2 linked regions of the Oryzias latipes genome follow. The protein of the gene in region 1 binds, or shares a complex with, the protein of each later gene. Links are inferred from orthologs where the notes say so. Each region holds a gene or a part of one and is shown on either strand. Other genes may lie near its edges.

Evidence for each region.
Region 2: eif3j (region 1) and eif3f share a complex: the UniProt entries of both Homo sapiens proteins name them as parts of the eukaryotic translation initiation factor 3 (eIF-3) complex. The link is inferred for Oryzias latipes from reciprocal best matches to the Homo sapiens genes EIF3J and EIF3F.

Annotation. Positions count from the first base shown.
Region 1 is NC_019861.2:18,399,549-18,404,065, reverse strand, and holds the start of eif3j (eukaryotic translation initiation factor 3 subunit J), read left to right. Parts: upstream 1-1,697; 5' UTR 1,698-1,745; coding exon 1,746-1,812; intron 1,813-1,949; coding exon 1,950-2,050; intron 2,051-3,465; coding exon 3,466-3,529; intron 3,530-3,603; coding exon 3,604-3,695; intron 3,696-3,775; coding exon 3,776-3,875; intron 3,876-4,060; coding exon 4,061-4,219; intron 4,220-4,327; coding exon 4,328-4,401; intron 4,402-4,517. Other genes in the region: stereocilin, read left to right, coding at 322-416. UniProt on the Homo sapiens protein: Component of the eukaryotic translation initiation factor 3 (eIF-3) complex, which is required for several steps in the initiation of protein synthesis.
Region 2 is NC_019875.2:2,469,612-2,474,043, reverse strand, and holds eif3f (eukaryotic translation initiation factor 3 subunit F), read right to left. Parts: upstream 2,853-4,432; 5' UTR 2,812-2,852; coding exon 2,700-2,811; intron 2,415-2,699; coding exon 2,344-2,414; intron 1,755-2,343; coding exon 1,675-1,754; intron 1,591-1,674; coding exon 1,453-1,590; intron 1,371-1,452; coding exon 1,279-1,370; intron 1,108-1,278; coding exon 971-1,107; intron 859-970; coding exon 745-858; intron 563-744; coding exon 482-562; 3' UTR 421-481; downstream 1-420. Other genes in the region: G protein-activated inward rectifier potassium channel 3, read left to right, coding at 4,382-4,432. UniProt on the Homo sapiens protein: Component of the eukaryotic translation initiation factor 3 (eIF-3) complex, which is required for several steps in the initiation of protein synthesis.

The sequences.
Region 1 (4,517 bases):
ATTTCTTTCTATTTAAAAATGTAATAAAAAACTCCAAGATTAAGTTCAAAAAAACATTTTAATTGAATTGTAAAATGTCTTTTCAAATTGCTGCCCATAATCAAATGGAAAAATTAATTGTAAAGTGATAATAAATATCCCTGAGTTATGCATTCACATTTTTTGCCTTTTTAAAAAGCTGTAACACTTGTTAAGGGTTGTTCTTTGGTTAACTTACCTGCAACATGCCTTCTTTTGAAATGACAGTTGAATAAGGTGCCATTTTGCATGGCTATTGTGTTATATTAATAGGTCTGATTTTGTTTTTTCTGTTTCTCACAGGGAGGTCAATGGGCTTGGTGGTTGGCATCAATCCTTCATGTCTCATATTTGGACTACTGATGCAGCTAACTGTCTCATTCTGCCATGATACATAACCTCACTCTTCTAAGCTGCTTCAGGACTGTGATACAAAGCACAATAAAAAATATAAGCAAATAAGCAAGATACAGTTTTTGTGAAGAGGAAATAAGCAACATATCTGGAGTTCTTCATGTCATGTTTCCTGACATTTTAGTGAACGTTGTTGCAAATTCCCTTTTTTTTTCAAATTAGCTAAAAGTACAGCTTTGCTTTTGATATAAAAACACAATTATAACATTTTGCAGCGTTTTCATTTAAACCCCATATAAAACCTACAATAAATAAAAGTTAACATTTATTTTTCTAAAAACATGTATATTGACAAGGAAAAAATGTAAATTTTTTGCAAATGAAAAAATGTATTGACATTTTTTATTTGTCTGTATGTTACTGCAAACTGTCAGGTTATTTTGTGTATATAGTCAATAGTTAAGACTGGAAGTATTAGTGCTTATCAATGACAGTCTATTGTTGCTGTGAGTTTATTATTGTTGTGCTTGCTTAATTTTCTTTAACTTTTAGCTGAAATGTTCAGTTAAACCACTTGGGCTCTGAATGACTGTTACTTTATTAAAAGGAACCAACAATTAAACTTTTATTTCACAATGTATATTTTTACATTTTCTGTCTTTTGTTCTTAGATCTTCTCTCACTGATAACCTCAAATGTTTTGCATACATTTCAGGACTTTCGGAGGTCTAAAAAACAAATCCTGGCAGTCATAAGGCAAGAATCAGGGGACCGCAAACCCAACAGTAATCTATTCATCAGTCTTTTTCAAATATTATAAGTTCCGAATCATATCTAACAGGACAAATGTTCAATATTTATTCAAACCAGGGATACTCTTAGAAAAAACAAATTCATTTATTACTCTGTAATTGTTTAAAATTTTCTTTGAAATAAATCTCTGTTATCTTAGAATTTTTCTTTTGTGTTTAGTAACCTTGAAACATTATGGGCGTCCTGATTCTGTAGATCCAAGAAAAAACATATTTTTGATAGACATTATTTACAAGAACTTGTGAAGAAAAAAGTGGTATAAAAAGTTGGTCCACCTGAAAAGAAAATAGAAAAAAAAAAGATTAATAATTACAAATATTTATACGTTTTTCATTAATTGTTTTTATATTGTTATTTCTGCCATAGTGTTTACGTTTTTGAACATTTATAAGGGGGTTGGCAGTCGTTCCTTATAATTGTGAAAATAATCTAGAAATCATTTTTGTAAGTTTTTCTTTGTTTGTTTTAAATCATCGTGAATAAATTCCTCGCCTGAAATAGCTCTTTTGGCTCGGGGACGTCACATAAACTCGCGGTGACGTCAGGAGCAGCTACTGAGCATGCCCAGCGGCAGCAGCCTTCACGTTTCTCCGAGCCTGTCAAACACAGCCAACATGGCGGACTGGGGTAAGAAACTAAGTTGGGAATGGAATATATTTATACACCGTAGTCTTGTTGTAAACTTCTTTTAAAAGTTGAAAACTATATCACCATAAGATTATAGCGAGTTGTCTTCGCATATTGAATGTTTTTTCTTATTGTAGACGCCGAGACCTTCGAGCCAGAGGAGCCGCTTAAAAAGGCGGCAGTTGTTGTTGCAGTTATGGACAAATGGGAAGGCGAAGACGAAGAGGAAGATGTTAAGGTATGCCTTCATCATGTCATAGTCTTAACGTGTATATTTAAATTCAGGTATATCTGTATTGTTTTTTTAGCGGGTCGTTCACGAGAGTCACGCCGACGTTAGGCTTAAAGCAGATCGCTCTTGATGCCACGCTTCCTCCGTGTCCGTCAAGCCCAACCTTAGAACTGTGTTAGCTGTATGTTAGCTAGCGGATGGCTAACTCGCGTGCTTCCACAGACTGTCCAATGTTGAGCTAACACCAGCCCTCCGTCCGGGTTTCACTAAGTGACAACTGAACGTTGTTTTAGCAAACTATTAACAATAGAAATAATATCTGCTTTGGTTTATAGTTTAGACTTTGAAATATACTTTTCATTTTAGAGGATTTATTGGCATAGATATTTGCTAACAGTTAGCCTGTTTTGGACGCTCAGCTGGGCACGACGATGCTTATTTTAAAAAAGAAATGTCAGAAAAGTCCAACTTTTTTTCTTCTTTTTACCAAAAGTGGTAAAGTGAAAATAGGTGAATAATGGCAGTAACTGTGGGCTCCGGTCTGCTGACGTTAGCTAATAGCTCGCTTACCAACTTAGCCTCAGTCAGAGGAAATCATTCTCTCTGCTGATGATTCAACTCGGCCAAAAGGAGGCCTAGAATTTTCCGACTTTACGATGGCTGAGCAGGAGTTTTGAGCTGTTGCGGCTCAGCTGACACTGCAGCTCAGGTGGCTTATATGAAAATATCGTGTTTCTTCCCAAATAGTTCAGCCGTGGAAAGTCTTAGTGTAGGCCTTCCTGGGATAAATGTATATTTATTTATTTGGTCACATATGCCATGGTGTCAAAGCTTGGGAAAAAATTTACTTTTTTTTTGCTAGTAGTTTGCTATGTAAGCAAGTGTACTGTTTCATAAGTGATAATTGGACATGGATGGTCATTTCTGAATAAAACTGCTCTTTTAGTGAAAATATCTCATAAGTTTAAACTAACGTAACTAATTTATTAATTCATTTATTAAAATAAAGTACACTACCCACTACTAAAGGAACAGTAACCTTGTTTTTGGGGAAACATTAATAGTCAATAAGTACTAGGTGCTGTTGCAATTATTTTATTTAGGTTAATGAGTTTTATTTATTTTTGCTTAATGAATTGTTCTGTCATCTCATTTGAGATCACATGTTGTAAAAGCTTGAGTTAGGCTTCACAAAGTGGGTGAAGACATTTCTGTGGATTTGAGGGATAGGATTTGGCAACATGTTGCAAAAGACAAAGTGGTTAATGTTGCAATAAATGCAATAAAATAAAGCTCAGGAATTTCTGGTATAAACCAAATTAAGATAAACTAATTTAAAAAAGAAGTAAAAATACATTTTTAAATCAACCTTTTTTTTCTGGAAATAACCTAAATATGTTTTCTTTCTTTCTTTTTTTTAGGATAACTGGGATGATGATGAGGAGGAAGATGATGAGAAGAAAAAGGAGGAGGCGAAGAAACCAGGTACTATAATCATTAGGAAAAACTTGCATTTTTATGGGTATGAATGTTGAAATGTTTCAAACTTGTGTTTACAGAGACGAAAGTTTCTGATAAGAAAAGGTTAAGTGAAAAGATCAAAGAGAAGGAAAACCGGTTAAAGAAGAAACAGCAGGAGTTGCAAGAGCAAGTATGTGTTGCTATGGCCTTTTTTTATTTAAACGGTAAAACAATATTCCTATAATGTTATTGTTTTTTTGCTTTCTTTAGGAACAAGAGGAACTAACTCCTGAAGAACAACTTGCAGAAAAGTTAAGAGTGAAAAAACTACAGGAAGAGGCTGACTTGGAGTTAGCAAAAGATGCTTTTGGTAAGAAAGAGTTGGCCTCTTCATTTCTCTCTTTCCAGGAAGTTAAAAAGAAAGGATTTTGCTCTACACTATTTTTACAATTAAAAACATTTGTTGCACCAATGAAAAACTTTTTTTTAATGTAACTTTTTGTTCTTAGAAGACATCTAAAAACGTTTTTTTTTTTTTTCTTTCTCTCACCTCAGGTGTTGGCAGTGTCACCGGCATTGATGCCATGTGTCCATCCTCCAAAGAAGAATTCACAGAATTTGAAAAAGTGCTGAAAGAAAAGATATCCCAGTTTGAAAAGTCTGTGCATTATTCAAGTTTTTTGGAATCGTTGTTTCGGGAACTTTGTATTTCATGTAAGGAAGACCTCAGTTTCATTTATCCTCAACATCACTTCTTAAATGCCATTTTCTTTATAAATCCAAGCCGGCCTAATATGTGCATCTTTTTTCTTTTTCATGCAGTGGAAGTAGAGGACTTAAAGAAAGTCAGTAATTCCCTTTCGGTTCTACTTAGTGAAAAACAGAAACAAGAAAAAGTAAGTTCTTGATCATCTAAAAGTGACTACTTGTACAAAAGGGGGCGCTGTTGACACATGGCATTGTTGAGAAGTTTGTCTTCTCAATTTCAGCTTAATTTTTATCTGTTTTTGCT
Region 2 (4,432 bases), on another chromosome or scaffold:
TAATTGACCTCTGCTACGGATTTGAATGTATATTTAATGATAAAGATCAATATTTTGCTTTGGATAAAAGAACTTGAAACACTTTAACGGAGTCTCACGTGCTGTCTACTGTTACTTGAATAGGACAAAAAGTACTAAATGAAGTTACTGAGGAAATACAAAGTAAATATATTTAAAGTTTTTTCATAATTATTCCTCCACTTTAAGAGTTCTGTGCATTTGACCAAATCCTCTTTATAATCTGAAATAAAGAGTTTAAACACTATTGTCACTTTGAAACCTCAAAGAGTAAATGTAAGCTGAATAAACACGCAATACCACTGTCACAAATACTCAACATGTTTTCTTAATTAGTGGTAAACTTAAATTTGAGATGTTCTTATATGTAAGATCCACCCCACCCCAAAGAAAACATCATGATGCGACTGTTTAACATTTTATTTGCTTCAGCCAAACAATAAGAAAGTTTAAATAGTTCATTTCAGGAGAGCAGCACCAGCTTCTCGTGCAGGGCAATCTGTGCCTGGGTGAGGTTGGACAGGTACGTCACCATCAACAGGTCCTGCAGCAAACCACAAGCACGTCCATGTAGAAAATACACACAACTGAATTTCACAGAAACAATTCCAGTTCCACAGTCGTACAGATGCTAGTATCTTTTAATCTTCACAATGTCAAGAAGTACAAAAGGGTAAAAAAAAACCTCATGCAAATTGTAATTACAGTATCAGGGGAAGCACTTACATTGATGTTAGAATTGAGCATGTTCTCAAAGTCCTCAGGTGGGATGGTCGGCACCTTGTTCACCAGGTCTGTGAGGAACCGGCCAACGCTGTTATCTGCTGCCACTTTCCCAGACTGGAACAGATCCAACAGGTTTTCACCAGAGATCACCCACTTCACTTTGTCATATGTGCCAACACAGGATGTCTTCTTGTTTTATTTTTTTTGTGACAGCCTTAATACTCACCAACACATCGTCAATGTATGCCAGCACCGTAGTCAGCATGTCCTGTACCCTGGCTGCAGCTCCACCCACCTGGGACAGGTCAGAGGTCAGACCCTTGGAGCGACTCGGAGCATCCCGTGTCCTTTGAAGAAGGTCCACTAAAAACAAACAAATATTCAAGTCCAGCTATAGAAATGTACATTTGCTTTTGAACAAATCTTACAAACGCAAACATACATTTCTGAAGTGCATTTGAAACGGGGACAAACATTTTTTAACCCAATAACTCAAAAGTAAGACTTTTTACCACCAGAGTATCTTCTGCTTACCGCCTATTCTCTCAGTGTCATAATAGATATATTTGACGGTGAGTGGGGTAAACATGACGCCGACGGTCTTTCCTGGCACACCCATCTGTGCGCTGTGTAAGACATACACAAACACATTTAGATTCCTCTCAACCTCAACACGACGACACAAGTTGGCAGCACAGATCCGCTTACCTGAGATAGGCCCGGATGTTCATTTTGCCACTCTGCAATGCCGTGTCCACAGTCAGGTGAATGGGGTTGGAGGCTTCACGGCTGTAATACTCATGGATGAGCACAGAATGTTCAGTGATGTCAAAGCCTGTGGCATACCTGGTGGAAAAAGGTCACCTTTTAAATGTATCTGAAAACTTTAGCTGTTGAGTATAGGTATCCGGATACAAACGGCTAACGCACCATCCGATGATGACCTCTGTGGGCGACACCCTCTTGTGAAGCTCATACATGTTTTTTGCAAATTCCATGTCAACAGCGACCTGTTGTCAATAGGACAGACAGAAGATCACTCCTTCAAAAAAGGAGGAACGTGCACATTGTATTTGAGGTGTGTTGAGAAAACAAATAGGATTGTGGCAGTAACTTTTTCACCGTTTCAAACTAGAAACGTATTCTTCTTAAAGTCGCCTCATGAAGCATAACGTTGATGACACAGCATCAGGTGAATGCAAAAGGATCAGCCGAACACATTTGTATTGCTGGTAGTCAGGAGGATAGACACATTTGTATAGTTTTCAGTTTGTTAGTTCAGGTGTTGAAGACAGACAAACTAGTTTACTGATCATTTCTGAGCAGCAGAATTATTGTACGCCATCACAGCAAAACAAGCTGCAAGTGTTAAAAAGGGCAACAAATACAAACAAATCCTGTTAAATGTTACATAAATTTATGAAGTACAGAAGTATCGATCATTCAAATAAACACAGAAGTCATCTTAAATGCAATATGATTCATCATGCTATAGGTACAAGCTTTCTCCAAGATTTTAAGAGAAAATAAAGTTTGAGACATTTTTAACCTTAAGTTGAAGTGCAAAACAATTAAATTTCGCTAATGTTTAACACTCACCTCATCTTCTGACTCATTGTGGGGGACAGAGAAGCAGTTCGTCACCTCAATTGAGTGTTTGTCAACTGTACCTGAAAGCGACAAAAAAGTTAAACCGTTATTGATATAGATGCTTTGTATTATGTATATAATTCATGACAATTCACTCGCTAAAATTCTTTTTTGTTTGTTTTGTTTACACAAATCGTAATGTTGAAAACATGTCGGCTAGCTAGCAGCTGGACTTCACCATTGGTTTAAACTAAGCCAGCGTGCGTTAGCTAGCAAGCTAAAGCTAGCCGTATGCTAGCCACCGCTAGCGCTCTGAAAACATCCATCCTCCTGCGACAAGACGTAAACATGAATTTAATGCTTACCCAAAAGGGTTCCGATCACACGGCTGGCTCCCTCATTCCTTCGCTCATACGAGTCGCAGATAGATGCGAGAACGACGGGATGGATTTTCACCACTGGCCCGTACACCGACATCTTGAAAAAAGAGGACCGTTTACCGGCTCGAGCGAACACATATACTGCCACCTAGAGGCTGGAGGCCGAATGGGCAGCAACCAATGAACAGATTTAAAAATAAACTCACACATATTTTATTAATATGACTAAATATAGATACACAGGGGGCGATTGTGCTGTTGACAGTGCTGCTAATAATGTTTTTTAATAGAAGTGTTTTAATAATAAAAAACAACAAAATCGGTTTTTAAACCAACACTAATGTTATTTTATATCAAGAATGTAGTGCGTTTGATTTTATGTTTTATGTCCACTGTTAATCAGGTGTATGCGGTTACATTGTAAGTGAATTAAGTCCACATTTCCTCTGTGAACTCCGCAAACAGGCTCCGGGGGGGGGTGTCTCTCCCTGTTGTGCGTCTGAGGCAGTGAGGTGGACGGGGGCTGCACTGATGACAGCCTCCTGCGTCGCTCACAGCCTCACTCACACCTGACCGACTCCATCGGACGCGCAGATGATGGAGCTGCTGCCGGGTTGCCCCTCTGCCACCATTTCGCACATCCACTGCACGACAAATGTTCTCCCGCTGCCTTCAACTCTTTACTCTCGATAATTGTCTGGATGGGTCGTGATTTTGGGTTTTTCCTGCGCGGTTTACTGAGTGCTTTTTCTTCTTCTTTTGTTTTCCTGGAGGAGCGAACAGGAGTGTACTGATGCGGCGTCGCTGCTAAACACCAGAAATGGGTGTCATCGAAACAAAGGTGCCAGAACCGGCTCGTTTTTGGACCCCGTTTCTCCTGATCTGCCCATAAAAGAAGATCTTATCTACAAGTTGCTGCACCAAACAGGTAGGATTTAGCTCGTTCTCTGCGGCGTACTGACTCACGGGCATCCTTTACTGAGGCTATTTCTGATGCATCCATCTGAGGTGGTGCGTCATCTTCATAGCCGCTATATAATTACATCAGTCTCCTGCGTCCATCCACCAGCTGTGGTTGGACGCAGGACGCACGACCCGCGCTCCATTTTACTGTGCAAATATTCCCCTCACACCTTCTTAACCCAGACTGCTCTCCGACACTTATGTAAGACATCCCAATAGGACTATAATGCAAGTCCTCAAAATTTAAAATAGCAGTAAAGTGCACTTACACAACGCGCACACACACTGAAGGACCACGCATGCACCCAGCCCGAGGCGTTTTATAAAGGCTGCTTCATTAAATGTGCATGGTCAGATGTGCACAGAGATCATGATGTCTTTAAGGGAACAAGATCACAGATTTATTTGTCTGTAGAGTTTAGTTTCATGAGACAAATGCCTTTAAGAGGTTTAAAGAAAACAGTAAATGTTCACCTGTATTTATGACAATCTTTAAAGAGGATCATTCGATTTACTTCAGACAATAAATGGCCCCAACAGGTCGATGGTATGATTTAATTTGATCATTGTGCCCCTCTTTGTTCCAGGCTTCAGTCAAGCCAACAAATGTTCCAATCAATAGCTGCTGGACACAATCAACAATAGGGAGGAGATCAATAACACACTGATACGCCGTCACGCATACACACATACACACACCTGTCATGGCGCTGGAGAACTCCGTTTTCCCCTCCCGGCCCGACTCTCTTGCGCTT